Linked DNA regions of Macaca fascicularis. The protein of the gene in region 6 purifies or fractionates together with the protein of the main gene of each other region. This does not show direct contact. Links are inferred from orthologs where the notes say so. Each region holds a gene or a part of one and is shown on either strand. Other genes may lie near its edges.

Evidence for each region.
Region 1: the proteins of RACK1 (region 6) and HDLBP purify together in Homo sapiens (affinity purification with mass spectrometry; 3 studies listed by BioGRID and IntAct, with this or other methods). This does not show direct contact. The link is inferred for Macaca fascicularis from reciprocal best matches to the Homo sapiens genes RACK1 and HDLBP.
Region 2: the proteins of RACK1 (region 6) and LARP4 purify together in Homo sapiens (affinity purification with mass spectrometry; 3 studies listed by BioGRID and IntAct, counting the BioPlex papers as one, with this or other methods). This does not show direct contact. The link is inferred for Macaca fascicularis from reciprocal best matches to the Homo sapiens genes RACK1 and LARP4.
Region 3: the proteins of RACK1 (region 6) and TNRC6C purify together in Homo sapiens (affinity purification with mass spectrometry; 3 studies listed by BioGRID and IntAct, counting the BioPlex papers as one, with this or other methods). This does not show direct contact. The link is inferred for Macaca fascicularis from reciprocal best matches to the Homo sapiens genes RACK1 and TNRC6C.
Region 4: the proteins of RACK1 (region 6) and HELZ purify together in Homo sapiens (affinity purification with mass spectrometry; 3 studies listed by BioGRID and IntAct, counting the BioPlex papers as one, with this or other methods). This does not show direct contact. The link is inferred for Macaca fascicularis from reciprocal best matches to the Homo sapiens genes RACK1 and HELZ.
Region 5: the proteins of RACK1 (region 6) and SRC purify together in Homo sapiens (affinity purification with western blotting; 4 studies listed by BioGRID, with this or other methods). This does not show direct contact. The link is inferred for Macaca fascicularis from reciprocal best matches to the Homo sapiens genes RACK1 and SRC.
Region 7: the proteins of RACK1 (region 6) and IGF1R purify together in Homo sapiens (affinity purification with western blotting; 4 studies listed by BioGRID, with this or other methods). This does not show direct contact. The link is inferred for Macaca fascicularis from reciprocal best matches to the Homo sapiens genes RACK1 and IGF1R.

What each region holds. Positions count from the first base shown.
Region 1 is NC_088386.1:137,179,503-137,183,526, reverse strand, and holds part of HDLBP (vigilin), read left to right. Parts: intron 1-1,002; coding exon 1,003-1,221; intron 1,222-3,262; coding exon 3,263-3,484; intron 3,485-3,728; coding exon 3,729-3,947; intron 3,948-4,024. UniProt on the Homo sapiens protein: Appears to play a role in cell sterol metabolism. It may function to protect cells from over-accumulation of cholesterol.
Region 2 is NC_088385.1:57,286,248-57,290,271, forward strand, and holds part of LARP4 (la-related protein 4), read left to right. Parts: intron 1-4; coding exon 5-108; intron 109-3,021; coding exon 3,022-3,132; intron 3,133-3,867; coding exon 3,868-3,921; intron 3,922-4,024. UniProt on the Homo sapiens protein: RNA binding protein that binds to the poly-A tract of mRNA molecules. Associates with the 40S ribosomal subunit and with polysomes. Plays a role in the regulation of mRNA translation.
Region 3 is NC_088390.1:84,529,381-84,533,404, forward strand, and holds part of TNRC6C (trinucleotide repeat-containing gene 6C protein), read left to right. Parts: intron 1-945; coding exon 946-1,016; intron 1,017-1,886; coding exon 1,887-2,026; intron 2,027-2,953; coding exon 2,954-3,314; 3' UTR 3,315-4,024. UniProt on the Homo sapiens protein: Plays a role in RNA-mediated gene silencing by micro-RNAs (miRNAs). Required for miRNA-dependent translational repression of complementary mRNAs by argonaute family proteins.
Region 4 is NC_088390.1:73,622,316-73,626,339, reverse strand, and holds part of HELZ (probable helicase with zinc finger domain), read left to right. Parts: intron 1-956; coding exon 957-1,155; intron 1,156-1,611; coding exon 1,612-1,719; intron 1,720-2,704; coding exon 2,705-3,002; intron 3,003-4,024. UniProt on the Homo sapiens protein: May act as a helicase that plays a role in RNA metabolism in multiple tissues and organs within the developing embryo.
Region 5 is NC_088384.1:93,506,558-93,510,581, forward strand, and holds part of SRC (proto-oncogene tyrosine-protein kinase Src), read left to right. Parts: intron 1-913; coding exon 914-1,063; intron 1,064-2,437; coding exon 2,438-2,593; intron 2,594-4,024. UniProt on the Homo sapiens protein: Non-receptor protein tyrosine kinase which is activated following engagement of many different classes of cellular receptors including immune response receptors, integrins and other adhesion receptors, receptor protein tyrosine kinases, G protein-coupled receptors as well as cytokine receptors.
Region 6 is NC_088380.1:188,337,119-188,341,704, reverse strand, and holds the start of RACK1 (small ribosomal subunit protein RACK1), read left to right. Parts: upstream 1-1,542; 5' UTR 1,543-1,646; coding exon 1,647-1,755; exon of another isoform or gene 1,756-1,767; intron 1,768-2,042; exon of another isoform or gene 2,043-2,110; intron 2,111-3,094; coding exon 3,095-3,266; intron 3,267-3,548; exon of another isoform or gene 3,549-3,627; intron 3,628-3,742; coding exon 3,743-3,890; intron 3,891-4,586. UniProt on the Homo sapiens protein: Scaffolding protein involved in the recruitment, assembly and/or regulation of a variety of signaling molecules. Interacts with a wide variety of proteins and plays a role in many cellular processes.
Region 7 is NC_088381.1:83,518,234-83,522,892, forward strand, and holds the start of IGF1R (insulin-like growth factor 1 receptor), read left to right. Parts: upstream 1-1,486; 5' UTR 1,487-2,506; coding exon 2,507-2,600; intron 2,601-3,773; exon of another isoform or gene 3,774-4,011; intron 4,012-4,659. Other genes in the region: uncharacterized protein, read right to left, coding at 84-129, 218-912. UniProt on the Homo sapiens protein: Receptor tyrosine kinase which mediates actions of insulin-like growth factor 1 (IGF1). Binds IGF1 with high affinity and IGF2 and insulin (INS) with a lower affinity. The activated IGF1R is involved in cell growth and survival control.

The DNA.
Region 1 (4,024 bases), on a different chromosome or scaffold from region 6:
TCCCCCTATTCTTTGCATTTCTAGTGTTTCTTAATGAGGGTGTTTTTGTATTCCTCTGCATATTTGTTTGGCTTTGTGAAGTTACTCTGAAACATTCTGCTCCTTTTAGGACTTGCTTTTAAGCTTTATTAGGGAGGATCAGAGCAGTATTTAGTTCAGGCCCAAATATTTTCACTGTTGAGGTAAGGTCCTTCTGGGTACTATACTCCACGTCCCAGAAAGCTGAACCTGCTGAGGACGGCTCTGGACCAGGCCCAGCTGAGCTGCAGGCACTGTTTCCTGTGATCCTTCTGGGGATTCTTTCCCGGGCCCAAGGTGATTTCCTCACGTGTGTCAATGTGTGAGTGGCTGGTCTCCAGATCTCGGAGGTTCTCGATGCCAGTCTCTTTGGGCTCTGACCTCCTGTTCTTGCTATCTTGGATGGTTCCGTTTCCTCACCTTTCTGTACTGTAGCAGCAACTTGGGGCAGTTGTAGGGCTCACCTTGTTTCCTGTCTCCAGGGTTGTGGAAATCACCATTAGGCAGTAAGTTCAGTCCAGTCCCTGGTATTGCATCTTGGCTGAAAGCAGAACCTTTGGTTTTAATAGGAAAAGTTCATCCATAGGCATATGGACCCACCTCTGGCAGAGCCGGAGAGTTGACTGAAGAAGAGCATTATGTGTGGTCTGAAATTACCACGCTCCTGCCCTCCAACCCAACACACGTCCACGAGGACGCTGGGTCCTGTTGAGTTAAACACCTCCCAGTGCGTCTGCTCTGCTGGGCGCACCCCACTCTCCCCAGGACGTGCACTCTGCCAACACATTATCCAGCGCGTTGCTCCCTCCTCTCCCTGTGCAGATGAAAAATGGCTTGGAGAAGTTTGGTCAGTGCTTTGTAAGTGGCAGCACCAGGGTTCTAAGCCTGTGTGTTCATCACCACCAAAGATGATAGTTTATCTTTTCCTCTGCCCTTTTTGCCACAGAAAGTGACTTCCTCCTCCTGTTGTGTGTTTGGTTTCAGGCCAACATAGCCGAGGTAGAGGTCTCCATCCCTGCCAAGCTGCACAACTCCCTCATCGGCACCAAGGGCCGTCTGATCCGCTCCATCATGGAGGAGTGCGGCGGGGTCCACATTCACTTTCCCGTGGAAGGTTCAGGAAGCGACACCGTTGTTATCAGGGGCCCTTCCTCGGATGTGGAGAAGGCCAAGAAGCAGCTCCTGCATCTGGCGGAGGAGAAGGTGAGCATGGGGAGGGAGCGTGACTCTTGGCAGGAAGCCTGGTCCTCACTACAGTGTTTTGTCTTCTCTTCTCACTGTGGAAAGCCTTAAATGCCCTTCCTTTGTGGCAGGTCAGAAAACAGCTCTGTAATATACTTGTTATGCCTCTTGGTTTTGCTGTCACTGGAGGGCCTTTCCAGGTCCGGATGCTCATGTATACAATATGTAAACGGTGCTCTTTGGCTTATTGGCTTTGGGGTGCGTTTGTCTTTTAAGTATGATTTACAGTAAAATTGACCATTCTTCAGGTATAGCTGAGTTTTACTTAACATGCAGACATGTGACCACAATAATCAAAATTCATTTTCATCACCTCTAAAGATTGCCCATTGAATTGCTGTTGTCCCTGTGTCAAAACCCATCTGTGGATATGTTTCCGGGCTCTTCTGGTGACACCAGACTTATGGGAAGTCTAGAAATCAACAGTGTAAGCCCTCTCAACTGGCTGCTCTACATCCCTTGGTGAATTAGCCTGTCAGTTTGTAGGAAAAAAGCATTTTCATGCTTTGATTGGGGTTGTGTTAAATCAAAAGATGAGGCTGGTGAGGACTGACAGCTCGGCAGTCTTGACTCAGTCATTTCTCCATTTTTTTTTTAGGTCTGTGATTCTTTATTGGTGCTTTATAATTTTTAGCATACAGAACCTGCACATTTTTATGTTCGACTTAGCAGATCTAACTGCTGTCATTCTTTTAGCGCTATTGTAAATGGCACTTTTTTTCCATTTCCAGTTGTTAGCACGTGGAAGTACTTGTGATTTTTGTATGTGGACTTTCATGAGACTGCTAAATGAAGCTCATGCATGTTAGTGCCAGTCACTTTTTTGTGAATTCTTATTTTATATGTAACAATCACGTGGTCTGTGGAGTTGTGTTTCTCTCTAATCTGGAGCCTCATATTTCTTGTCTTTTTTTGTTGTTGTTGTTGTTGTTGTTAAGATTGTATAGGTTGATTTTTTTTGTCTTTATGTTTAACCAGCCTTGCATTTCTGGGTAATCCCTACTTGGTTTGGTGGTTTGTTTTTTACCATATTGCTGGATTGGATTTGCCTAATTCATTGCCTGATTTTTGACTAATGCGCTATTCGTGGGTGTCTTTGAAAAGTAGCAGAGTCTCTAGGTGGTATTTGGTGAAACCTGCCCTTAAAAGATAGCAAAGTTGTTATTTAGTATTTTTATGCTAGCACATTTTTCTTTGGTATTTTTGCTTGCGGGCCAGGTCTTGGGTCCAGAGAAAGGCAAGAGCTATCCTTGTGGATCTGAGTCACGTAGAGCAAGCAGCACACTTCTCTGTGTTCCCCTGCATGAGTCTGCCAAAGGCACTGGTGTCCACAAGTACAGTGTCCAGGGCCTTTCGAGGACCCTCATTTCTTGTTGCCACACAAGGGTGTTGTGCTACATGAGGCCTCTGAGGGCTGGTCTCTACCTATAGCCTTGGTTGGCTTGTGTCCCTCTGAGCTTGAGCTTGGGGAGTAGCTGGTTTTGTGGGGGCTGATCTGTAGCACTCGTGGGAGGACAGGAAGCCTGGCCCAGATTTGTGCGCGCTTGGTCTGGAAGCAGGTAGAAAAGTGGGAGCATGGGGCAAGCCTCTTGGGCAGCTTGCTTCCTGCTCTGCTGGGCACACCCCATGCTCCCCAGGACGTGCACTCTACCAACACATCGTGCAGCGCGCTGCTCCCTTCTCCCCCTGTGCAGATCAAAAATGGCTTGGAGAAGTTCGGTCAGTGCTTGTCAGTGGCAGGACCAGGGTTCTAAGCCTGTGTGTTCATTACCACCAGCATCTGATTGTTGTGGAAGAGAAGTATGTGTGCGGTCTGTCTGGGTATTCATCTGTTTATTCAGTGAGGTGTGCTGGCCCCATTTTGGGGGTATTGGTGCAACATCAGGACACTGGTGACAATGTAAGGGGAGCCTGACCTTGCTGTCCTTCAGGCCCTCTTGTCTTCCTCACTGTGGTCCAGGCATGTGGTGTCAGGCTAACAGAGCGGGATTGGTTTCTGCAGCAAACCAAGAGTTTCACTGTTGACATCCGTGCCAAGCCAGAATACCACAAATTCCTCATCGGCAAGGGGGGCGGCAAAATTCGCAAGGTGCGTGACAGCACAGGAGCACGCGTCATCTTCCCCGCGGCTGAGGACAAGGACCAGGACCTAATCACCATCATTGGAAAGGAGGACGCCGTTCGAGAGGCACAGAAGGAGCTGGAGGCCTTGATCCAAAACCTGGTAGGGAGCGGGCCGTGGCAGCCGACTCTGCCGGGGCCGTGGTGGGGAGCGGGCCTCGGTGGCCGACTCTGCCGGGGCCGTGGTGGGGAGCGGGCCTCGGCGGCCGACTCTGCCGGGGCCGTGGTGGGGAGCGGGCCTTGGCGGCCAACTCTGCCGGGGCCGTGGTGGGGAGCGGGCCTCGGCGGCCGACTCTGCTGGGGCCGTGGTGGGGTGGCTTATCTTCCATCTCTTCTTAACACTGCAGGATAATGTGGTGGAAGACTCCATGCTGGTGGACCCCAAGCACCACCGCCACTTTGTCATCCGGAGAGGCCAGGTCTTGCGGGAGATTGCTGAAGAGTATGGCGGGGTGATGGTCAGCTTCCCACGCTCTGGCACACAGAGCGACAAAGTCACCCTCAAGGGCGCCAAGGACTGTGTGGAGGCAGCCAAGAAACGCATTCAGGAGATCATTGAGGACCTGGTAGGCACTTGGGTGCTCGGGGACGGGTTCTCAGCCCCCAGTGGCCACTCACCAAAGCCATGTATGGGTGTTCCCTC
Region 2 (4,024 bases), on a different chromosome or scaffold from region 6:
TCAGCTTCTCCCATGGTGCAAGTTGATGAGAAGGGTGAGAAAGTGAGACCAAGTCATAAGCGTTGTATTGTAATTCTTAGAGAGATTCCTGAAACAACACCAATAGAGGTAAATTATTAATAATTGTTAACGCTAAATGTTCTCTGTTTAAATTGAAAGAGGTTCTTCTGCTTTCCGTGGCAAAGAAAAGAAATTGAAAGAGGTACACAAGCAAAGCGTAAGCCAGTGCCTTCATCAGTTACTGTGAAAAGGTTAAATATTAATTTGTTTCATTAATTCTGAAGTACTAGTATGGTATAGGGGAAGGAAAAGATATAATTCTGTTTTCTTAGAAGGGTAGACAAAGTGTTGCAGTGAAACATTCTGAATTTACTAGATTGATTCAGTGGCAACTAATATATAAATAGGCTATTTTGGGAACTTGAGAATTCATCTGTAAGAATGAATAACCAGATTTTGATTAAGGATTCAGGAGGCAAGGCTGGGTGCAGTGGCTCACACCTGTAATCGCAGCACTTTGGGAGGCTGAGGCGGGTGGATCACAAGGTTGGGAGATCGAGACCATCCTGGCTAACATGGTGAAACCCCGTCTCTACTAAAAATCAAAAAATTAGCTGGGCGTGGTGGTGGGCCCCTATAGTTCCAGCTACTTGGGAGGCCGAGGCTGGAGAATGGTGTGAACCTGGGAGCTTGTAGTGAGCTGAGATCGCGCCACTGCACTCCAGCCTGGGCTACAGAACGAGACTCTGTCTCAAAAAAAAAAAAGGGATTAAGGCGGCAGGACTAACCCTATTGTTCAGCAAAATATTATATAAAGCAAAGTTGCAGTCATAAAGATGGTATGGTACACATACCAGAATAAAATAATATTTGAATGAAACATTGTAATCAATTTGACAGTTAGATTCTACCAGTTATTACTTTGCAGTTATTTAAAGCCAAAGGTTTTATTATCTGTTTTACTGATGAAGTAACTGATAGTTAGGCTGGTTGCATAGTTTGCTCAAGGACATAAGGGCTCTTAAATGACAGGAGTTTGGGTTTGAACATAATCTCTCTGATTCTAAAGTCCATGTTTCATAATCACTGTGTCACAGAGCTTCATATTAAGTTGCCATGATAAGGTGATATATATTAAAGAAGATGAGGATTAGTTAGTAACTGACATTGTAATTGATTAGCTATTTAGAATAGAATTTTATTTTATTTTATTTTATTTTTTGAGACAGGGTTTCAGTCTGTCACCCAGGGTGAAGTGCAGTGGCACAGTCACAGCTTACTGTAGCCTTGACCTCATGGGCTCAAGCGATCCTCTCACCTCAGCCTCCTGAGTGGTTGGGACTACTGGCGCATGCCGCCATTCCTGGCTAATTTTTGTACTTTTTTGTAGAGATGGGGTTTTGCCATGTTACCCAGGCTGTTCTCAAGGCCCTGGGCTCAAGCAGTCTGTGCACCTTGGCCTCCCAAAGTGTTGGCATTACAGCCGTGAGCCATTGTGTCCTATTTCATTATCTTTTTTACGGTTATTATAATTCATATTCTGAATACATAAGGAGTTCATACACATGAAAAACAGTAAAACAAGGCACCAAATGTTTTGTTGGGTTTTCAAGTTTTTTGTTTTTTGCTTTTAAATTTTTTTTTCATGTTAAAAAAAGTTTTTCCTCAATCAATGGTTTTCTGTGACAGGGTCTTGCCGTGTCACTAAGGGTGTAGTACAAGTGGTACGATCATAGTTCATTGCAGCCTCAAACTCCTTGGCTCAAGCAGTCCTCCTACCTCAGCCTCCCAAGTAGCTGTGACTACAGGAGCCAGCCACCATGCCCAGCCAATTTTTACTTTTTTTTTTGGTAAAGACAGTGTCTGGCTATGTTGTCTAGGCTCGTCCTGAACTCAAGCAATTCTCCTGCCTCAGTCTCCCAAAGTGCTGAGATTACAGAAGTGAGCCACTGAGCTCTCGGGCTGCATTTGACCTTTGCTATTTCAGTAGATATTTTCTTTCCTTCTGTTACCTTTTTTTTTTTTTTTTTTTTTGAGACAGAGTCTTGCTCTGTCGCCCAGGCTGGAGTGCAGTGGCGTGATCTTGGCTCACTGCAAGCTCTGCCTCCCGGGTTCACACCATTCTCCTGCCTCAGCCTCCCGAGTAGCTGGGACTACAGGCGCCCGCCACCACGCCTGGCTAATTTTTTGTATTTTTAGTAGAGACGGGGGTTTCACCGTGTTAGCCAGGATGGTCTCGATCTCCTGACCTTGTGATCCGCCCGCCTCGGCCTCCTAAATTGCTGGGATGACAGGCCTGAGCCATCGCGCCTGGCCTGTTACTTCTTAAGTATACTTAATGTTCACTTAACTTTTTTTTTTAATCTTCTTTCAATCCATTAACAGATTTACCATTTTAAGTTTTGTAGTCACCCTTTTTCTGAATCCATGTAGCTGTCAGAGTTTCTGTTTACATTTATACTAATTATGGAAAAAGGAAGATATGTTTGCACATTAACTCACATGTATGTTGTAAGCAAAGCATCTGGATTAAATGAGAATGCATGAAAATTTTTATTGCCTAGAAAATGTTAATGAAGGATATCACTTGTCCTGTGGCAGGCCAGACAGGAAAAGGACAGGGGAGATTTCACTATAAGGAGCGTTTAGCTTGCCAGTGGAAGTGAAATACTTATGCTTTGCTGATCGTAAAATAAATCATCCCAAAATCATGTACAAAATACATCTCCTGGCCAAATGGAGTGGCTCGTGCCTATAATCTCACCACTTTGGGGTGCTCAGGTGGAAGGATCGCTTGCATCCAGGAGTTTGAGACCAGACTCAAATATATCTCCTATTAACTCTATTTGTTTTGGAACACAGCCTATCCTCAGTAGAAAAATGGGCAAAAGTTAACAAGTGAAGTGATAGAAAGGACCAAAAACATGAAGATATGCTTAACATTACTAGTAAATAAACAAGCAAAAAATGCCATTTATTGATGTATTTTTTAGAGTTAACTAATTTTCTTTTTCTTTTTAGGAAGTGAAAGCTTTGTTCAAAAGTGAAAACTGCCCCAAAGTGATAAGCTGTGAATTTGCACACAATAGCAACTGGTATATCACTTTCCAGTCAGACACAGATGCACAACAGGTAAGAAGAAAACAGTTTTCTGATACAGGTCCATCCTAGTGGCAAAATAAGTAGTGGTATATTTTAATTGAGAAAATGTGTGTTTACACTGATGTTTATCAAGATTAGTGAGTACCTTGATTTACCTTTTTGCTTTTGCTCAATTGATGTCCTTTTTGATCATCTTCCTAAAGTTTTTCAGTTTTGATTTAGGAAGTTTTCTGGTCGACAAGAATGTTAACGTAACAGTTTTAAAATTAACATAGGGATTGAGAACTATGTACCCAGTGGTATTTTTAGTACATAATAGGTCTGCAATAAATAAAATTCTTGGAATTTTGACTTGATGATTTTATTCTTAATTGTTAACATGTCTTAAAGAGAAATAATCCTTTAAAACACAAATATATCTATGATAAGAGTGTTTAAAAATCACTCACAGATTTTTGTTTTTTAAAACAGTTTAGTAGAAAGTTGTCTGATCATTTTTAAATTGGTTTCTGGGGATATTTTGGGTCTGTTTTCAATCTTAAGGCATTTTTTCTGCAGTAATCCATGGTGGCTTTTCTACAATAAATATGAACTGTGGTTGAGAAGGCCTTATATTTTTACTTTTTCATTCCCTGTCCACCTGCACAGTGGAATCACCTACATAATTTTGTTTTTATAGTTTAATACTAAACTCTCAACATAATAAAGATGACTTTACTGAAATGTTTGGATGCTAATGAAAGTTTTCTTGTGCTTTGTTAACAGGCTTTTAAATACTTAAGAGAAGAAGTTAAAACATTTCAGGGCAAGCCAATTATGGTAAGAAATAGAGGAGATCAGTGTGAAACCAGAACAGGTTTTGGTTTCTCTGTATGAGAATTTTAAAAATACAGACAGATAATGTTTTATAAAAACCCATAGT
Region 3 (4,024 bases), on a different chromosome or scaffold from region 6:
TCTCTAGGAAGTTCCAAACTGTCCCACATTTTCCCATCTTTTTCTGAGCCTTGAGTTCCAACCTCTGCCTGTTACCCAGTTCCAAAGTTGCTTCCACATTTTCAGGTATCTTTTCAGCAGCACCCCACTCTACTGGTACCAGTTTACTTTATTAGTCCATTTTCATGCTGCTGGTAAAGACATACCCAAGATGAGGCAATTTACAAAAGAAAGAGGTTTATTGGACTTACAACTCCACGTGGCTGGGGAGGCCTCATAGTCATGGCAGAAGGTGAAAGGCACATCTCACATGGTGGCAGACAAGAGAGCTTGTACAGAGAAACTCCAGTTGTTTAAACCGTCAGATCTTGTGAGACTATCACGAGAACAGCACAGGAAAGACGTGCCCCCATGATTCAATTACCTCCTACCACGTTCCTCCCACAAAACATGGGAATCATGGGAGTTACGATTCAAGATGAGATTTGAATGGGGACACAGCCAGACCATATCAGATAGTTTGAAAGTAATAGTTTCTGCCTTTTAGCAGCAGTCTTTAGGGATTTGCTCTGTTGTATTAACCAGAAGAACCTGGGAGCACTGATTCCACACCAGGTCTGGGGGCAGGCAGAGGTGGAGACCAGAGCTTTCCTGGAGATTGTCAGGCCTCTCACCCCCGTCTCTCCTGGCACAGATGGGAAAACACGGGTCTCCGGGGCTGGCGGGAAGATCCAAGAAGTCAGAGTCACCACGGGGAAGTGGGAAGGGGGTCTGCAGGAACTGTGAGGTTTTGGTTTACGAAAGAAAGTATGGACCTCCCAGGCTGAGAAAGGCTGTCCTAGATCATGTGGTGATGGTCCGTGATGGCCCGTGCTGTCCCACACTTCAGCACGGTAAGAGGTGGGGAGGCCGCACTATCCACTGGCACCGGGGCCTTGTCAACCGGGTTCTCCCCTCTTGTTGCAGGTTCTGCCTGGAGCACCGACGCCTCAGGAAGAACCAGCAGCTGGCTCGTTCTTCGAAACCTCACTCCCCAGGTGCAGTACGGTGCCCCTGTGTCGCTGAGCATGATCCAAGGAGGGTTCCCTCTTGGCCCCCGATGCAGATGAGGCTGTCTGGTGGGGCGGGATAGTCGGGGGTTCTTGGTCAGGGTCCAGAGGTGATGCTGCACGGGAGGAGATGAGCAAGTGCCAGGCTTGGCTCCAGCAGCAGCAGCAGATGGGGTCCAGGGGTCTCTTTTAACCATGTTCTTGGTGAATTGTTTGTTTACCCACTAGAGGCTGGAAAAGTGTGCTCTGTAAATAGAATTGTTTATCTTACAACTACCCATTCAAGAGTGGTTGGGCCTGGCCGGTTGCAGTAGCTCACGCCTGTAATCCCAGCACTTTGGGAGGTCGAGGCCAGGGATCACCTGAGCCCAAGATTTGGAGACCAGGCTGGGCAACATAGCAAGACCCCATGTGTGTATTTTTATAACATTTTTTAAAAGAGTGGTTTGGCCACGTCAGACTGTGGGGCTAGCCAGTCCCTTCTTGGGACCCAGGCCACACCCACCTACACATCTCCCAAGTCTGTTGTCAGCAGCTAGACCCAGGTGCCTTTTGCAAACCAGGGGCTCTGTGTGATGTGCTCTGGTGAAAGGAGAGCTGAACTCAAAGTGGGGTTTTTCTCCTTCCTCTGATTAGCCTAACTCATAAAATATAACTGAAACATCCAAGATTTTAGTTACACGTTTGGCCACAGAGATACAGAATGTGAACATTGTAAAATCACATATTATTAAAGCCTTTTAAAGAAAAACATTTTCCTAGTGTTTAGTGTATCCAGTTTCATGTTTTTTCTTTGGAAGGCTGTAGTGAAAGAAATCAGAAGAAAGCTCATTCATGCCCCTGTGCTTCCTCTGTCAGATTGATGGTTCTACACTGCGGACATTGTGTTTGCAACATGGGCCTCTCATCACATTCCACCTGAATCTGACTCAAGGCAATGCCGTGGTCCGGTATAGCTCCAAGGAGGAGGCTGCCAAGGCCCAGAAGTCTCTGCACATGTATGTTTCCTCACAGCCACCTCAGCGCTCCAAGTAGCTCCACATCCCCCAGAGCATTAGGTTAGGGGTGTTGCAGGGGGGTCCTGAGCCGCCATAGCAGCATCCCACAGGCTGGCCACCCTCCCGCTTCTGGAGGCCGGAGGTCTTGACACCCAAGATGAAGGTGTGGGCAGGGCTGGTTTCTCCTGAGGCCTCTCTCCTTGGCTATAGACAGCTGCCCTCTCCCTCTGTTCTTACATGGTCGTCTCTTTGTGCATGTTGGTGCCCTGATATAAGGACACCAGTCATGTTGGACTAGGGCCCACCCATGTGACCTCATCTAACTAACTTAATTACCTCTTTAAAGACTCCATCTCCAAACACAGTTACATGGGGAGGTACTGGGGGTTAGGACTTCAGCAAAAGAATTGGGGGAAGGCGACACAGGTCAGTTCTTCACAGGTATCTTGAGACTTATTGTTTTTTTCTGCTGCTGAGTTGCTGTGTCTACTCCCCTCTGCCTGTGACACATTCCTACACAGGGCCCAGCAGCGGTCCTCACAGCCAACCCTTCACCCTGACGAAAGGTTGCTTTTGATAGAAGTATAAGTAGACCTGATCAGTAACATCACTTGAGACATGGAACCTAGAAATTAGTCATTCCTGTTTTTAGCCCAGGATGCAAATGACAGTGACCCTAAATGAGCCCACATTTAATGGTGTGTTCATGCACTTGAAGATGTACTCTCTGTACCAGTACGGTGTTGCTGCTAGAAGTCTGAACTGAGCAAAACCTTCACAGTCTGGGTTTGGAAATAGCAGTGGCAAAACAGAAGCCACACGATGGCTTCCAGGTAGCCTTTCCCAATACGAAGACAGAAAGCCGGTGCCACGAACTTAGCAGGACTTGGGGTGGCCCTGCTCACGTGCCCCATCTTGCTGTTGCAGGTGCGTCCTGGGAAACACTACCATCCTGGCTGAGTTCGCTGGCGAAGAAGAAGTGAATCGCTTCTTAGCCCAAGGCCAGGCGCTGCCACCCACCTCCAGCTGGCAGTCCAGTAGCGCGTCCAGCCAGCCGCGGCTCAGCGCAGCGGGCAGCTCCCATGGCCTGGTGCGCAGCGACGCTGGCCACTGGAATGCCCCATGCCTGGGTGGCAAGGGGAGCAGTGAGCTGCTGTGGGGCGGGGTGCCCCAGTACTCCAGCAGCCTGTGGGGCCCGCCCAGCGCTGACGATAGCAGGGTGATCGGCAGCCCCACCCCTCTGACCACCCTGCTGCCTGGGGACCTGCTCAGCGGGGAGTCCCTGTAGGAGCTGCCATCATCAGCACCAGGAGAGCCGACCCCTCCCGGGACCCCTCCCAGATGGGCGGCCCCACAGACCCGCTGGAACCCAGCAGCGGCCACCCTTTTGAGTACCTCTGTCCAGGACTGAAGACGAACCTTGGCCACAGTCCTTGCGAACTGTTCGCAAAACAGTGCGGGCTGCGGTGGGTCAGCGTCACATGCTAATGACAGGATGTTCCTCGTAGCTTTTTATTTTGTGTGTCTTATGTTTGTATAGTGTGTTGTCATTTTGATTTTTTTTTTTTAAAGTATAAAAGCTGCTTAGAATAGTTCTATCATGAAGGGCACTTTTCAGATTGTGGGCTGGAAAGGGTTATTTTATCTGTGGGGGAGGGAGGGAGACGTGAAGCCTATTTAAAATGAGCCTGTGACGATTATGCACATTACCAGAGGCGGCCGGTAATCAGGGCAGAGTCTGGTGTGGACCGCCGGGCGCAGAGCGGCTCCACGGTAGGAGCTGAGCGGAAGGCGTGGGCTGCGATCTGCTCTCTGTTCCCCTGGATCCGCCTATGCACATTACCCTTGTTTCATTACTTTTTCATGTCATTTTTTTATCCCAAAAAATATTTTTTAAAAGTTAAAAAAAGACATATCAAACATGCAAATACTTGAATCCAGCAGGCCAATAGTGAAATGTGAACACTTTCTAACTCTACACTTCCAGGCTGACATCAG
Region 4 (4,024 bases), on a different chromosome or scaffold from region 6:
ACCCCGTCTCTACTAAAAAATACAAAAAACTAGCCGGGCGAGGTGGCGGGCGCCTGTAATCCCAGCTACTGGGGAGGCTGAGGCAGGAGAATGGCCTAAACCCGGGAGGCAGAGCTTGCAGTGAGCTGAGATCCGGCCACTGCACCCCAGCCTGGGCGACAGAGCGAGACTCTGTCTCAAAAAAAAAAAAAAAAGAAAAATTTTTTAAGGTCCTTATCATTTTGGGAAGTAGGGCATACCTGTGTGTGAGCAGCAAATCCACTTGATGTCAGTGTTGCTTTAAAAAATCCTACTCTGGCTGGGCATGGTGGCTCACACCTATTATCCCAGTGCTTTGGGAGGCTGAGGTGGGTGGATCAATAAATCAGGAGTTCAAGACCAGCCTGACCAAGATGATGAAACCCCGTCTCTACTAAAAATACAAAAACTAGCCAGGCGTGGTGGCAGGTGCCTGTAATCCCAGCTCCTTGGGAGGCTGAGGCAGAGAATTGCTTGAACCTGAGAGGCAGAGGTTGCAGTGAGTTGAGATTACGCCATTGCACTCTAGCCTGGGTGACAGAGCGAGACTCTGTCTCAAAAAAGCCCTCCAAAAAAACGAAAACAAAAACAAAACCCAGTTATTCTAAGAGGAATTGTCTAATAGAGTCCTTATATGACCAAAGAAGCTATTTTTCAGTGCCTCTTTTGGAGGGCCAACGTGAATACCTATGCCTTAGGATCCCCTAATTCCAGAGAAAGTCAGTGAATAATATGGGGAGTTGATGTTTTGATTAACTGTTGTAAATGTTCTCTAAACCTCTTCTCCCTCCTTTATATAAGACAGTATGATAAATGTGGCCTTTCAGCACATGAAGTTTTGTTTTTCTTATTGAAGAATCAGAGGGCAAATGCTGGGAGTTTATTTTTAAATGGTTCAACAAAGTATATGATAAAACAGTCTTTCCTATTCTACTTAGATTTTTAGAGCAAGGAATATGTAGGTATGGTGCCCAGTGTACTTCAGCACATTCCCAGGAAGAACTAGCAGAATGGCAGAAAAGATATGCTTCACGGCTGATAAAATTGAAACAGCAAAATGAGAATAAACAGCTCTCAGGCAGTTACATGGAAACGTTGATAGAAAAGTGGATGAATTCATTGTCTCCTGAGAAAGTGGTGAGGAAAATAAGCTACATTGTTTTTTGTTTGTCTTAAACAGTGAACTTGAGTCTTGACTTTGTTATGTGCTCTATTTTGGTTTATTTCCTTATCTTCTTTGCAAAGAACTTGATTCTGATAGAATGATGTTTTTAGTAGCTGTAGTAGACCCATTTGTTAAAATGAAGAGCAGAACTAAGCCGTTTGCTTGAAGATTTGCCTGTACCATATTAATTACCTTCATTCAGGCAGTTTTTGAGTGCCATTTTGTGGTGGTGATTAATTTTCTTCCCTCTCATTTTAGCTTTACTATATTTTGTTCTTATCAAAATTACTGAAAATGAAGGTATAAAATACTTTACTCTGTAAACAGTTCCATCATCATCTTAACTGTTAACATTTATTTTCCATGCAAAAGATTTTGTTTGTGCCCTTAGCAGTAAAAACATAACGTAAATTGCTTTCTGTTTTCAGCTTAGTGAATGTATAGAAGGAGTAAAGGTAGAGCACAATCCTGACCTGTCAGTTACTGTCAGCACTAAAAAATCCCACCAGACATGGACCTTTGCTCTCACCTGTAAGGTATGAATTTTGTGCTAGTTAAAGCATGTAAGTTGTGTTTAATTTTGTCAACTCTTGTGACCTTTGAATCTCTGTGTTAAAAGAATATTGAAAATATTTTAATCTAAACATATTATATATAGGTTCTAAAGTGTATTTCTGTATTTTGATTATTAAAAGTACAATTTAAAAAATACTTTTAGATGAAATCTTTGTAGATATTTAGGATGCTATCATATTTATTTATTTGGTAAAGAGATCTTTGACATATTGTCTTCTAAACTTGGGACATAGGGTGGGGTTCATGGCTTATAATTAACTACTTAAAAATTGTTTAATATAGCAGTTCTAAGATTTTTAAACCATAACAACTTGTTTTTATATTTGGTATGATGAAGTCACACATTCTGTGATAATAGGTTTTCAATATGGGGCACTTTCTGCAGTGCTTCCCATCTTAAATTATAGTAGTCAAAGTTTAAGACTGAAGCAAAATAAACAGTTTCTATGAGTATGCTCAGTGGAAAAGTTTTTGTCTTTTTCGTGGCATTTCTTCCGCTGTACTTTCTGTATCTGGGGATGAAAAATCTAAGAACAGTTAGCTTCAGCCTTGAACCCAATCCATTGCTTTCAGAGGTAACTGCCCTCTTATGAAGGCTTCCTACTTGAGGCTACATGAAACTTTTGTAGGCAAAGAGTATGGAAAGTTGAAGGTTGATGGGTATATAGGGTGATAGCTTTTGCCACAATGAAAAATGAACATGTCATAGAAAGAGAAGGGAGGCTAACGATATAGCATAAATATATAATTTTAACAACTGATTTTTCAAAAACCCTTCTGATTTTTATCTTAAATGGCTTATAAGCACAATTTGTGTTTTAACATAGTATCGTAGAAGCTTGGGGAAGTAAAAGTCCCTTATGGAGATATTTTCATTGAAGAGCCCAATTACAATTGGATTTTTCACCCCTTTGTACTCAATGAATTATTTTAACTTCCTTGTAGCCTGCAAGAATGCTGTATCGTGTAGCATTGCTTTATGATGCTCATCGTCCTCATTTTAGTATCATTGCAATATCTGCCGGAGATAGTACTACCCAGGTATCACAAGAAGTCCCAGAAAACTGTCAAGAATGGATAGGAGGAAAGATGGCCCAAAATGGATTAGATCATTATGTGTATAAAGTCGGGATAGCATTTAACACAGAAATATTTGGAACTTTTCGCCAAACCATAGTTTTCGACTTTGGATTGGAACCAGTACTCATGCAAAGAGTAATGATTGATGCAGCTTCTACAGAAGGTAATATTTAGACTTTTTTCCCCTGATACAATGTATTAAAAAGCAACATTTAAAGATATGTATTGGCCCCTGAATATATTCCATGGATAGGAAGAGAATAATAATAATGAAAAAAATCGCAGATTAATTGACTTATTTACTGTGTAATGGGCTTATAATGGTTCACACTGTGCCCTGATTTCTTCATAGAGCCACCAGGCAAAGCTTGAGCTTTGGGGTTCCCCCAACTTGTTTGAGTAGATGATCAGGCCTGTTTTGGTCTACCAATTTCATTTCACAGTAGGATGGTTTTAGCACAGTAATATCTTTCAATATTAGTTTGGGTAGAATATCATTTTAATGGTAATTGTGTATATACCTACAATGTTTATTTTCATGTCCTATTGACTAGTTAACTTTGCTGATGTTAGTACATTATTTCTGAATGAAAAGTCTTGAATATAATAAGCCTTCATAAATCATTTTGTGTATCCACTAGCGTTAAGGAGGCCAAGGTGCCTTTAATCAAATCTGCTCTTTGTTTTTGGAAAGAGGTCCCTGGTTTCAACATGTTAAGTGTGATATAAGAAATTACTTTGTACATTGTCAATTTATTGCTTACACCTAAATTTTATGCCAAGATCCAACAGGACAAAGAAAGGGCATGTTAGCCCACATTTCCTTTGCTCTTAGTTGGATTTATAGGTGTTCTATTCTGTTTAACAAAAACTAAATATTTATTTAACAAACACTTCAAAAAGCAGAACTGTATGAAACTTGTCTTTGTATTGACTAAAACTAACCATATTGTGGAGGACGTTTTTTACTATGTACCATAATGTGCCATTCATGAGAACCTAGAAGAAGTTGTTTTTCTTATGAGCAAATGCTAGACTTTTATTTTTTTGCAAATAGTGAAAAGGTGAAATTGGTCTGTCTTCCTCTTTACTTTAGCTGCTAGTAAGGTTGAAACAATGATGGTGCCCAAATTTAACAATTGTTCGGTGACATCTTCTTCTGTGTGTACTGATACTACCCAAATT
Region 5 (4,024 bases), on a different chromosome or scaffold from region 6:
GGATCGTAACCTCCTCCTGAAGATTGCAAAGGGGAGGTCTGTGGGCTAGGAGGGCTCGGCTTCCCCCATGCCTATGCACTGCCTGGCCAGGCTCCTGGGAAGGCCGTTCCTGGCCGCTGGAGCCTCTGCCCTTGCCTCCAGGGCTCAGCCTTGTTCCCTGATGCCATTTGGGCGTCTCTTGGCCTCTGGTCCTACCTGGGCCTGCTGGATGGGAGGAAACTTTTCTGGCCAAAAGCTTTTCTAGGCTCAAGAGAAAGAGGGGAGGCACCAGGGCTGGCCCTGCTTGACCCAGGCAGCCTTCAGGCCACACCCAGCCAGTGGTCTCCTGCCCACGACAGCCAGCCTCTGCCAACCACCCCCTCCCGCCTGACCCTGGGCCTGTCTTTAGAAAGGAGGTGGGTGGGGGACACGGACAGTGCCCCCGTGAGCCGATCCAGAGAGGGAAAGCAGTTAGGCCAGGGCCACACAGCAACAGGGAGCCACTCACAGGCTCCCAGCAAACAGTTATTGAGTGCCTGCTGTGTGCCTGGCCCTTTTATATGTGGTGGCATGGAATCTCCCCAGCAGCCCTGGGAGCACCCGCATTGTGCAGAGGAGGAAACTGAGGCCCAGAGAGAGCCAGTAACCCCTCCAAGTTCCATAGCTAGGATGCCCACCTGAGATATGGGGGTCTTGCTGGGGCCAAGGGTGCGTGGCAGGACGTTCCAATCAAGTGTCTCTTGGGTCCCTTGGCCCTACCTCTGTGGCTGCCCCGGGGCTGGCTGTTGAGAGACAGGGTGGGCCGCGGGCCCCGCCTGGGCCTCCCTTCCCTCCAATGTCAGGCAGGCACAGAACGGTGTCCAGAGCAGCGCTGAGTGCTGCGGCCTGTGGGAGAGAGGGCGTGGCGGTCACGGCTCCCCTCTGTGCCCTGCAGGTGCCTACTGCCTCTCAGTGTCCGACTTCGACAACGCCAAGGGCCTCAACGTGAAGCACTACAAGATCCGCAAGCTGGACAGCGGCGGCTTCTACATCACCTCCCGCACCCAGTTCAACAGCCTGCAGCAGCTGGTGGCCTACTACTCCAGTGAGCCAGCCTCGGAGGGCGGGCGGGCAGAGCCTCAGCTGCAGACCCTGGGGAGGGGCTTTGGAGCCTAGAAGGGTGGGGTCTTCTGTTATCCTGTGATGCCAGGTTTCCTGCTCCCCTCCCCACTTTCTCCCTCCCCCTTCCCTTCCTCTCTCCTCCGTTTTCCCTACTTTCCTCCGTCTCCTTCTTCTTCCTCTTCTTTCCCCCGACCCGCTCCTCCCAGTCCCCGTCTCTCCCTGCTCCTGCTCTGCAGCTGGCTGGTATGGAGGGGGCTGCCCTGAGGAGCCCAAGAGTGAGCTGGAAGGGAGGGGACGGAGGCTGGTGTCATTTGTCTATGTAGCCCTAGGACCGGTCTGAACCGGTTGCTGGGAGAGGAGGAGGGGGCGGCCAGATCGATTGCAGCAGAGACGGAGAGAGCGGCAGAGGGAGCTCGCGGGGCTTGCGTGCTGGGTGAGGGCTCGGGCGTGGGCGCAGTGCTGTAGCCCACCCACCTGGGCGTCCGGAGCTGACTGCAGTGTCGGGGCCTGTGGGTGCCTGTGGGTACCTGTGTGCCCATGTGTCTGTGGCACGCGTGGCCTCTGTGTGCAGGTGTTGGTCCACTTCCCACCCCAAGTCTCCTCCTCCTCTCAGCTCGGCCTCCTGACTTCCTCTGGGATCACCCACCACGCTCTTGTCTCTTCGGCCACCGCTGTGTGGCTCATGCTGAACCCCGTTCCCTCAGATCAGAACTCTCCAGGGGCTGTCTTGGAATCTTGGGATAAAGACCCCCACCAGCCCCCAAGTGGTCTAATCCCAGCTGCCTCCCCACCTCCGCCTGGTGCCGCCCTTCCCCACCTGCTCCCTGCAGCTCCTTTTGCCTCCGCTTCTTCAGCCCTGCAGCTATTCTTTCCTCAGAGCCTTTGCTCTGGCTGTGCCCCTGCCTGGAGGGCTCTTCCCTGCTTAACCCCTCACCCTCCTGCACATCCAAGCTCAGTTGCTGCTTCCTCCAGGAAGCCTCCCAGGACCCTCCTGCTGTTGCGCGAACAGCTCTCCTCCAGTCACATTCATGTCTGTGGTCCTGGGAGGTGATTAGGGAATTGAGGCTCCTCCCTGGACTCCGAGTTCCTGAGGGTAGATTCCCTGGACGTGTTCCCCGCAGGGTCCCTGGCACCCCCTACTGTCTGCTGAATGACTGACTCAGCAGATGCATAAAGCACTGTGGGCCTGTGTGGGGGTGGGACTGTGTGCACATAGATGTAGATGCCTGGCTTTGAGGGCGCCCTGGGTGTCTCCTGAAATCTGCGTGCATCTGGCATGTAGGGTGACACACACTGAGGGGCAGGGAGGCCCCAGGGCAGAAGCCCCCCCTAACTGCTCCTCTTGCCTCCTCCTCAGAACACGCCGATGGCCTGTGCCACCGCCTCACCACTGTGTGCCCCACATCCAAGCCTCAGACTCAGGGCCTGGCCAAGGATGCCTGGGAGATCCCTCGGGAGTCACTGCGGCTGGAGGTCAAGCTGGGCCAGGGCTGCTTTGGCGAGGTGTGGATGGGTAAGGCCTGGCCCCTGCCCTCGGGAGAGGCATCCATCCCCCACCCCGTGTGGCAGCTCTGGGCTCTGTTGGTCCCTTTGCCTTTAGCTGCCTCTGCTGGACGACGGGGCCCTGTTGTAAATCTGGAGCCCCCCAGCGGTGGCTGGCACCGAGTTGGGATGTGGCCCCCCAAGTGCTGTGCCCCAGACCGTGTAAACCATAGCACCTGATTCCAAGATCCGCACAGGGCTGGGCATTGCACAGACCTGCTGTGTAGGCTGGGCCCGGTGGCCTCACTCGGAGTCTCAGTCTTCCTGACTATGAATGGGGCTGGTGACAGTGGGACCTATGGGAGGCTGTGGAGGCCATGGCCCAGTGCTTGTCCACACACCAGCTGTTAGCCATGGAGAGAGAAGCCTGGCTCGTGGGAGGAGGTGCTGGGAAGCTTAGTTCTGGCATGGTCTGAGCCTGTTAGTGATTTCCTGTCTAACCCTGGAGAAACAGCAAAGCATGAGCACCGTGCAGCCCTGACAAAACCCAGGCCCCTTGTCCACCGGTTGCTTTCTGCTCACACAGAGGGACCAGAGGCCAGGGTGGAGGTGGGACAGCACTTGTAAGCCCGTAAGCCCATGGTGCTAGCGGGGATCACGGTGTGCTGTTTTCAAGGTGGTTTCATCTGAGCCGCATCTCCGCTCAGTCCCACTGCCTCCACTCTCCACCCTCCAGAGTGCTGATGGAGGACAGCAGAGAGGCCTCCTGGGTGGAAGGCACTGCAGGGACAGAGGCCTGGAGGCTGGAGGTCAGGCCGTCTGGAAGGGGGAGGCGTGGGCTTTGAGCTGGTGAGAGGGGAGAGGGGTGAGAAGCCAGGGTGTGAGCACAGCCACAAAGTGAGGACTTGAGCGAAACCTGGGTGAATGCACAGCGTCAGCCATTCTGGTGGCTGCAAAACTCATTTCTGGCTTTGGTGAGTGGTGATGACCCTGGGAAGGGCCTCACTTCCTCCCTGGGTGCTCCAGGTCGACTCATGAAGTGCCACATGCAGATGGCTTGAGCCAGGAGGACCACAGAGGTGGGCCTGAGCCCTAACCCTCGGAGAGAGGCCCAGTGACTGGGAGGAATGGGCCCAAGGTCACACAGCAAAGGAACCTTGAGTCCTGCTGGCACAAGAACCTGGATTAAACATGCTGGTCTAGAATACAGCTTCCCCCAGAGCCCCCAGTTAGAAAAGCAGATAGTAGTGAAACGATAACCGCATTACTTACTGAGCCCTCACGGTGGGGCTGGCCCAGTGGTTAAAATCTCATTCAGTCCTCAAACAGCTCCACCAATAGACACTGTGGAATCCCCATTTTCCAGATGAGATAACTGAGGCTTAGAGAGGGGAACTGACTCTCCCATTGTCTCTCTGCTGGCTGGAGGTGAAGGTGGGAGTCAGGCTCTGGCCAGCCTGAC
Region 6 (4,586 bases):
CTTTGTCCCCAAAACCTAAAATAAGGCTTGGTACCCAAGAGGTGCTCACTAAGTTTCAGAACATTTACTCTGCCAGACGTTGTTCAGGGCGCTTAATTTGCTTCTTTACTGTCCACACCATGTAATGTAGATACTAATGTTATTTCCAATCTCATTTCACAGATGAGAAACAAAAGTTGATAGATGTCACAAATAGAAATGTGACATCTTTATTTTGCATAGATGTTGGTGGCTGCTATCATCCTGATATGTCCCCCTGTTTAAAACTACTTGAAGAGACACGGTGCCCAATACTGTCTCTTATAGTCAGATGTGAGAGAATGAGAGTCATTACTTGTTTAAATTCCTGAGGTAGAGTGGAAGGCAGAAGGACAGCTAGGTATCCGTATTCCACCGCTTCCCTGTCTGGGCACGTCCTTCAGGGTGCAACTGGACCCCCAGACGCCTGGGCTTTTGTGTGCAGTGACTGGGCCCAGAGAGAGCTTTCCAGTGGATGTCCCCAGAAGTCAGAACTTTAAGGTCCTCCTTTGGGCGTTTCCGTTTCTGCGAGAGCTTCCCGTGTTCTGACCTAGGCAGGAATGGATTGGCAGTCTAGCAACACACAGGGCAATTTTCACCTTATTATTTTATTGTATGTATGTATGTATTTATTTGAGTCGGAGTCTCGCTCTACTGCCCAGGCTGGAGTGCAGTGGCGGGATCTCGATTCACTGCAACTTCCGCCTCCCAGGTTCAAGGGATTCTCCTGCCTCAGCCTCCCGAGTAGCTGGGATTACAGGCACCCGCCACCACACCTGGCTAATTTTATTTATTTATTTATTTATTTATTTATTTATTTATTTATTGGAAAGAGGTTGCATTATGTTGGCCAGGCTAGTCTCGAACTCCTGACCTCAAGTGATCCACCCCCTCGGCCTCCCAAAGTGGAAGGATTACAGGCACGAGCCACTGCGCCCGGCAAAAAGAGACCAATTTTTAGTACATCCAGAGTAACCCTCTCCTGCCTTAGTCCAGCCTGGACTAAGTCCTTCCGGAGTTGGTGTGCATCAGAACAAAAACCTCTTGAGGGAGGACGGTCCCGCGGAAGCACAGTTTTAAAGTTTATTTTTAAAATTTTAATGCCATACTTTTTTAAATTGCCCATCGTTACCCACGATAGTGAACTGAAAATTAAGCTCTCCTGTGGTTGCCCCGTCAACCCTCCCCGCACCAAGTGGAACAGGCGGAGCTCGAGCTACGCCACATAGGGGCGGGGAAGCCGCCAGGGAGTCCTCATGGGAATGTGCCGTACACTTCACCTCTTTCGCTTCTCGCTCTACATCATCCCTGAGAAGCCTTTTTAAACACTTGAATGTGCTTGTTTCAGAATGTATTTATAAAGCGCTGTCAGATTATGTTGTACGGAAGTGGGGACTGTGATGCCGTGCAATTTCCCTTTGCCTTTTGCATTACATGGCGCCGCCATCTTGAGCAGAAGTGTATCATGGGGCTCGCCATTTTACTTGGTCGAGTGGGTATTTCCGGTTCCGGCAGAGGGCTTCTCTCTTTCACTGCAAGGCGGCGGCGGTAGCGGCTGTGTTGCTCGTTTCTCTGAGCCATCCAGTGCCATCCTCGTCGCTGCAGCGACACACGCGCTCGCCGCCGCCATGACTGAGCAGATGACCCTTCGTGGCACCCTCAAGGGCCACAACGGCTGGGTAACCCAGATCGCTACTACCCCGCAGTTCCCGGACATGATCCTGTCCGCCTCTCGAGGTACGGACTAAGGTAGATTTCAGGACCCGAGATTGCAGGGCTGGGGGATTCCGCGTGGTTCGGGCAGGCCGGTGGCGCGCGCGCTGTCGGGGACTGACAAACTTTTCTGCCTCACTGTGATTTGGGGCGTGCGGACGCGAGCCTAGGCCTCAGCCCGGGCGAGCCACATTGCAGATGAGGACCTAGACGTAGAGCGGCTCGTGGCTGTTAGGGTTGGAGAGCTGGAAACTTTTAAAACATCTTCTGCCTTCCCCTTCGTAGTGTGGTCGGGGGCCTACGGCCCGGGCGGGGCGGTGATGACCCCAACATGCCATCTGAGTGTCGGTGCTGAAATCCAGAGGCTGTTTCTGAGCTGCCGCCCGGCCCAAGGCTCGTGGGGAGGCGGGTGGACTCCAGAGGACCTCGTGGCTCAAGTCTCGTCCTACTTTTTCTGCCCCTGGGTCTCCCCTCCCCGTCCCTATCCCTGTGTGCCTGACTGCGTTTGGACACTTGTTGTGCTTCCCCTTTGCTCCTACACTGTTAAGAATTGTGTGACTCTTGAATCGTGTCTGGCTGTTAATCGTAAAATTGTTGAGTGGGACAGGTTTCAGTAAAAGCATCCGATCCTGTAGCGCCTAAAGTGGCTTTTCCAGCATTCATTATAACATTTCTGTCGGCCCTCAGAGGGAGGCATGGGAGGCCCCAGCTACTCTACAGCCACGAACTGCTGTGCATTCGGTTGCAGAGAAGATACGTGGTGGCTGTTGAGTTCGTCTGAGTTTCAGGAAAGGGTGTCTGTAATTTCTGGCACCTAAATTAAGTTCTCAGGATACAGACCGGGCACGGTGGCTCACGGCTATAATCCCAGCACTTTGGGAGGCAGAGGCGGGCGGATCACCTTAGGTCAGGAGTTCGAAACTAGCCTGGCCAATGGTGAAACCCCATCTCTAGTTTTTAAAAAAAAAAAAAAAAAGTTAGCCAGGCGTGCTGGGGGCGGCCTGTAATTCCAGCTACTAGGGAGGCTGAGGCAGGAGAATTGCTTGAACACGGGAGGTGGAGGTTGCAGTGAGCCGAGATCATGCCATTGCACTCCAGCCTGGGTGACAGAGTGAGACTCCATCTCAAAAAAAAAAAAAAAAGAGTTATCACGGTACAGTTTAGCTCTGCGTGCGTTTTTAGTCTGGAATAGAGCCACTCAGTCCTGGCCTGTAACTGCTCTTGTAGTCTGTTGTTCCATCCCTCCTTAAGCATCCTTAGTTGTTAACCCACTCATGACCTTGACACTTAGTGAATTATCCAGTGTGTTAACAAACTGGCTGCGGGTTCCTCACTGGTTTTTCTTCTGTTTGGCCGCTTTTAGATAAGACCATCATCATGTGGAAACTGACCAGGGATGAGACCAACTATGGAATTCCACAGCGTGCTCTGCGGGGTCACTCCCACTTTGTTAGTGATGTGGTTATCTCCTCAGATGGCCAGTTTGCCCTCTCAGGCTCCTGGGATGGAACCCTGCGCCTCTGGGATCTCACAACGCAAGTAGCTGCTCACTTAGCTCTGGGGCCTTGGGAAAAAATCTGGGCAGAAATGTGGTGGATGCAATTGGCTGGTTTCCCAGGGGAGATCCAGTCCATTTGGGAACTGGAAAGCAGACTGCACCTACAGAAGATGTTTGGCCTCCCTCGCTTTGAATTAGTTACTCAGGATTGCTGAGGAGTGTGGTTGAACATTTCTACCAGGTGCGACAGTTTTGAGTAGGCAGCAGTTTGAACATGTTTTACCTTGAAAGCTGAGGTGATTGGCAGGTGGAATTAGAGGGTCCTGGTGATGACAGATGACATTGTCAGCCAATCCCCATGTGGGAGTGAGGACATGTCCTGCAATTCTGAAGGGATTCTCTGTCATATATGTGTGAGTAATGCAATGAGACAGAGACAAGGCCCAGGAATCAGTCTGACCCTTGAATGAGAATGTTTGTTAAGTCTGAGAATGACAAAGTCCTCCCTCTTAGGGGCACCACCACGAGGCGATTTGTGGGCCATACCAAGGATGTGCTGAGTGTGGCCTTCTCCTCTGACAACCGGCAGATTGTCTCTGGATCTCGAGATAAAACCATCAAGCTATGGAATACCCTGGGTGTGTGCAAATACACTGTCCAGGTAAAGTGAGGCCATGGTCAGAGAGCACATCTCCAAGGATCTCTCCCACTCTCTTAACCTTTACTTTTTTTTTTTTTTTTTTTTTTTTTTTTTTGAGACAGTCTCACTCTGTCGCCCAGGCTGAAGTGCAGTGGCGCTGTGTCAGCTTACTGCAACCTCTGCCTCCCAGGCTCAGGTGATTCTGGTGCCTCAGTCTCCACAGTAGCTGGTGCTACAGGTGCGCACCACCAGGGTGGTCTCGAACTGAGCTTAGGCAGTCTGCCCGCCTCAGCCTCCCAAAGTGCTGGGATTACAGGCGTGAGCCACCATGGCCTGCATATCTTTACCCTTTTTTTTTTTTTTTTTTTAAAGACAGTTTTGCTCATTGCCCAGGCTGGGGTGCAATGACGTGACCGCAGCTGACCACAACCTCCGCCTCCCGAGTTCAAGCAATTCTACCTCAGCTTCCCAAGTAGCTGGGATTACAGGCATGCGCCACCACGCCTGGTTTTGTATTTTTAGTAGAGATGGGGTTTCTCCATGTTGGTCAGGCTGGTCTCGAACTCCCAACGTCAGGTGATCTGCCCGCCTCAGCCTTCCAAAGTGCTGGGATTACGGGCGTGAGCCACCGTGCCCGGCTCTCTGCCTTTTTAAAGTCTTGGCTGGGCTCATGCTCTGGTAGGCCAAGGTGGGAGGATTGCTTGAGGACAGGAGAGC
Region 7 (4,659 bases), on a different chromosome or scaffold from region 6:
GTCCACGTATTTCAAATTCCTCTCTCCTGCCATTGCTGGGCTGTTTCCCTCTTTGAGGACCTGGTCTCCGCAGCATTTATTCATTAGATGGCAGTCCTAGGGAAGTCTCGCTTTGGGGAACCTCTCCTCCTGCACATTCAAGAAAACCACCGCGGAGAGTTAGGGTCGGTACTGGTTTCTAGTCACTTACGTAGCAAACGAAGCAAGAGGAACGTGCCCGGGAGGACTCAAGACAGGTGCGGTTGGGTTTTCGCAGTAGCCGCTGATCCCGAGTGCATGCCGCCTGTTCCCGGGTCGGGACCGCAGCCAAGGGAGGCTTCCCGGCCCCAGCCTCCACCCCCTTCTCGGGGCCCCGGACACGCCCCCCAGCTTCGGAGCCCCGCAGCGTGCACGCGCCCCGGCCGCTCCCCACAGCCGCCCACGTGGTGGAGCCCTGAGCCGCGCGAGGCCGCTGAGAGCGCTCGGGGCGGGCCGCTGGTCCGGGAGGCCCCGCCAGCGCGACCCAGCCGAGTCGGTCCCCAGCCCGGGCCCCCACATTTCCTCCCCCGGAGGGAGGGAGGCGACTCTCCGCGTGCTGCCCTCCCCGGCGCCCGCCGCGCCCTCTGGCGGCCGCCGCGGGGACGCGCCCTGGGCACGCGGGGCCGCCTGTCTGAGCCCCCCTTCCGGGGCGCGGGGCCCGACCGGGGGGCTGCGGGGTCCTGTCTCCTCGCGCCACTCCGGGTCGAGCCACGCGGGCCGCGCCCTTCCCCCTCCGCTCCCCGCAACTCCGGGCTCCCCGGTCTCAACGCCGCGGGTGCCCCAGCCTGGCGTGAAAGTGCCCAGCGTAGTAGCCTGGGGGGGTCTTCTTTTTCCCAGGTGCGCCCCTTCCGCCACGTTCGGGCTTTCCAGTACATAGCGAAAAAAATGCCGCATGCACGCACTTATTTATTTTGCAACAGCTGCAAGGAACAATGAAGCTTTTCAAGAACCAGGGAAACGCGCTTTCCAGCCGCGCTGTTGTTGTTTTCAATGAACCTCTCCCAGCACCGCACTCCCCGCCCACCCCTCCCCTCGCCTGCCCACCCCGCCCCTCGCCTGCCTACCCCTCCCCTTCCTAACCTTTCCCTGCCTACCCACCCCTGCCCCGCCGAGACCGGGTCGGCGGCGGGGGCATTGTTTTTGGAGTCGGGCGGGAGGGTAGGGCGCGTGCGGGGTGGCCGGCGCAGTGGTGCACTGGTGGGGGCGGGAGCGGGTGGGCACGCGCGCGTGTCTCTGTGCGCGCGCGGGAGTCGGCGGGGCGGGACATGGGGGCGGCGCTTGCAGTCTCGCGCCCCACGCCTGGGCTCCGCTCCGCACGTCTCGGGGATCCCGGGCTCCGGTTTTTGGCTCGTGCCGGCCTGGGCCGGGCCCTCGGCGCGCCGCTGCTGCGGCGGTGGCCGCTCGAGTGTGCGAGCGGGCGCGTGTGCGCGGACCCGGGCGAGCGCGCGCGCGCGAGCCCCCAGTGTGTGGCGGCGGCGGCGGCGGCGGCGCGGCGAGGCTGGGGCTCTTGTTTACCAGCATTAACTCCGCTGAGCGGAAAAAAAAAGGGAAAAAACCCGAGGAGGAGCGAGCGCACCAGGCGAACTCAAGAGAGGCGGGAGAGCGAGAGGGACGCCGCCAGCGAGCCTGCCCGCGGCCGGCGCTCGCAGACCCTCGGCCCCGCTCCCCGGACCCCCCCCGCGCCCTCCACGCCCCTCCCGCGCGGGGGCAGCTCCACGGCGCGCCTCGCCTCGGCTGTGACCTTCAGCGAGCCGGAGCCCCCGCGCAGAGCCGGCGGCGGCGGGCGGGGGCCGGGCGGGGGCAGCGCGGGGCGGGCGGCGGCGCAGAGCCGGGCGGCGCGGCGGGAGTGCTGAGCGCGGCGCGGCCGGCCCGCCGCTTTGTGTGTGTCCTGGATTTGGGAAGGAGCTCGCGGCGGCGGCGGCGCTGAGGGAGGAGGCGGCGGCGAGCGGAGCCCGGAGGAGGAGGAGGAGGGGGAGCCGCTCATTCATTTGACTCCGGGTTTCTGCCCCTCGCCGGCCTCGCCTGCGACCCGGACTTGGGGCGATCTTGCGAACTGCGTCGCGCCCTCCCGCGGCGGAGGCTCGGGCGTCCGGCCACCTCCCGCGCGGCAAGGGCCGGGCTTGTTTTTCCTCGCCGAGGCAGATTTGGGCTTTGCCCCCTTTCTTTGCAGTTTTCCCCCTTTCCTGCCTCTCCGGGTTTGAAAATGGAGGCCGACGACGCCGACAGCCCGCCCCGGCGCGCCTCGAGTTGCCGACTCCGCCGAGCCCTGGGCCGCTGCTGCCGGCGCTGAGGGGCCGCCCCGTCCGCGCACCCGGAGGGCCCCGGCGGCACCGCCTTCGGAGTATTGTTTCCTTCGTCCTTGTTTTTGGAGGGGGAGCGAAGACTGAGTTTGAGACTTGTTTCCTTTCCTTTCTTTTTTTTTCTTTTTCTTTTCTTTTCTTTTTTTTTTTTTTTTTGAGAAAGGGGAATTTCGTCCCAAATAAAAGGAATGAAGTCTGGCTCTGGAGAAGGGTCCCCGACCTCGCTGTGGGGGCTCCTGTTTCTCTCCGCCGCGCTCTCGCTCTGGCCGACGAGTGGAGAAAGTGAGTATGTGCCCGCCGCCCGCGGCCACTGCGGGAACTTTTCCTTCGAGGGGCTGCGCCCTGTTTGCGAAACCCGAGTTGCCACCGTCGCAGCTGTCGGGCCCCCGGGCTCGGGAGCGGCGGGGCGGGGCGCGGGGTGGCTCTGCCGGGAGGGAGGCTGCGGCGGACCTGGGATCCGGGCTCGTTCGTCTGGAGCCCAGCGGGCCCTGGCTCCGCACATCCCCCGTGCTGGAAGGGCCTGAGGGGCTTTCTCTCTAGTCGTGCCGACAGTCCTGTCCCCCGGCTAGGCTCGAGGACTCGGTAGGGAAGTTGGTGCCGGGGCGGGCACCAAGGGTTCCCAGGCCCCGCGACCCGCACCTCGCCCCTCCGGAGCGCACGAGCCTCTCCGCACATAGCGCTGATCCCATGCGGCGCGAAGGCAGCGGGGACTGCACCCTGGGCCGCACCGCGTCTCCGCTGCTGGGGCTGATCCGGCAGTGGGGAGCAGGCATCCGCCCGGCCCGCGGGGTGCGAGTTGCCCTTGAGGGGGGAGGTGCCCTGCGGAGAGGCCCCGAAGCCCCAGGACACGTCTCCAAGCGCCTGGCGCTGCCTCCCGTCGCCCAACATGCATTTCCCCTCGGGCTCCTAGGGTTCCTGGCCTTGCCCGTTACTTTGGCCCGCTCCTCGTTGGGTTACCTGCCCCTGGCGTCCCGGGGCTGGGCGGTGGGGTGAGGGGAAGCGCTCTCTGGGCAGCTCCCCGGGGAGTGCGAGGCCGGGAGTCTTCCTCAGCTTGTCTTTTACGGGGAGCGCCACTGGGCCCCCAGTTCAGAGGGCTCTGGGATGGCCTCTCAGTTTCTCCCGGGCAGGGGCATGGAGGGGTGCTAGGGCCGCATCCGAATGTGCGTTGGTGGGTGTGTGGTCGGAGCCGACGTGCATTCCGACACACGTGCTCGCAGCGCGGGGTGTAGTCGCCGCCTCACGGGGACACCGAGACGCCCGTCCCTGGCGAGAGGTGTCCTACGCTGTGGGTTTCAGGAGCGCCAGGGTCTGCGGCGGTGGGGGAAGGGTGTTGTGTTTTGCGAGCGCGGAGCCCTGGCCTTGGTTTTGTTGTGGCCGGCGTCGTGTCGCCCTCCCTTCTGCCGCCGCGCACTTCCTTTGTACGCAGTTAATAAGCAGTATCGTTCCATACTCGCTATGTTTTGCAACCTGATAGCTTTTGTTTTGGTGGTGTCGGGTAGGGGTAGGTAGGGAAGCGCGGGGATGCAGGGAGTGGGAACTCCCCCCAGTGTGTACAGCCACAGGAGGTGGGGGGTTTATTCTCAAAAAATTGAAAGTGTGGCTTACTGGTACATTCAAGATAGTGGGGTAATTTGAACACGATTAAAAGTTTAAATGTCGCAGAACTGGGATCGGGAACGGTGAGGGCGTGTTGGTGAGTAATGGTAGCCGAGGGTATGCAGGTGGTGCCGATTAACTTCGAAAAAAATCACGACTGAGCCTTCAAGAGTGAGGGGGAGAAGTAGGAGGCAGCGGAGGTTGTCTGGCCCCATCACTGGGGCAATTCAGAAAGGCTGTTTCTATAAACAAATCCTTAAACGTCTCTTAAGAAATGAGTGCGCGACAGAACGAGAGCAGATCGTGGTTCGCGTGTTTACTGCCGAGTGGGACGCGGACTGGGGCCGGACCTTGCACAGATCTGGGCTCTCATGCTCTTTGTTTTCTAAACTTTAAGCGGACTCGATTGGGCGAAAGCCTTCCGGCTCCCTTTACTAAGTCGTTTAGGTGGTGTTTGAGGGGGACAAAGGAGGGTTTTTTATCTTTAAATGATAAGTACGGTTTAGAAGACACGGGAGAAATAATCCGTTTTATTATGGTGTGCAGTTAAACTGTAGAGCTTCTCTAGTTTTGTGTTTTTAATGTTCTGAAATTCAAAATAGCAGGGATGGCCTTCTCCGACGCAGGAGTCGGGCATTTTAAAATAGGCTGTTTTTCTTTTGGAGTGTTTTTCTTGAAGGATATTCTTTGTGCGAGACGACGGTTTTTGAGAACACAGACAGGAGGGGAGGGGGTGTTTTAATGT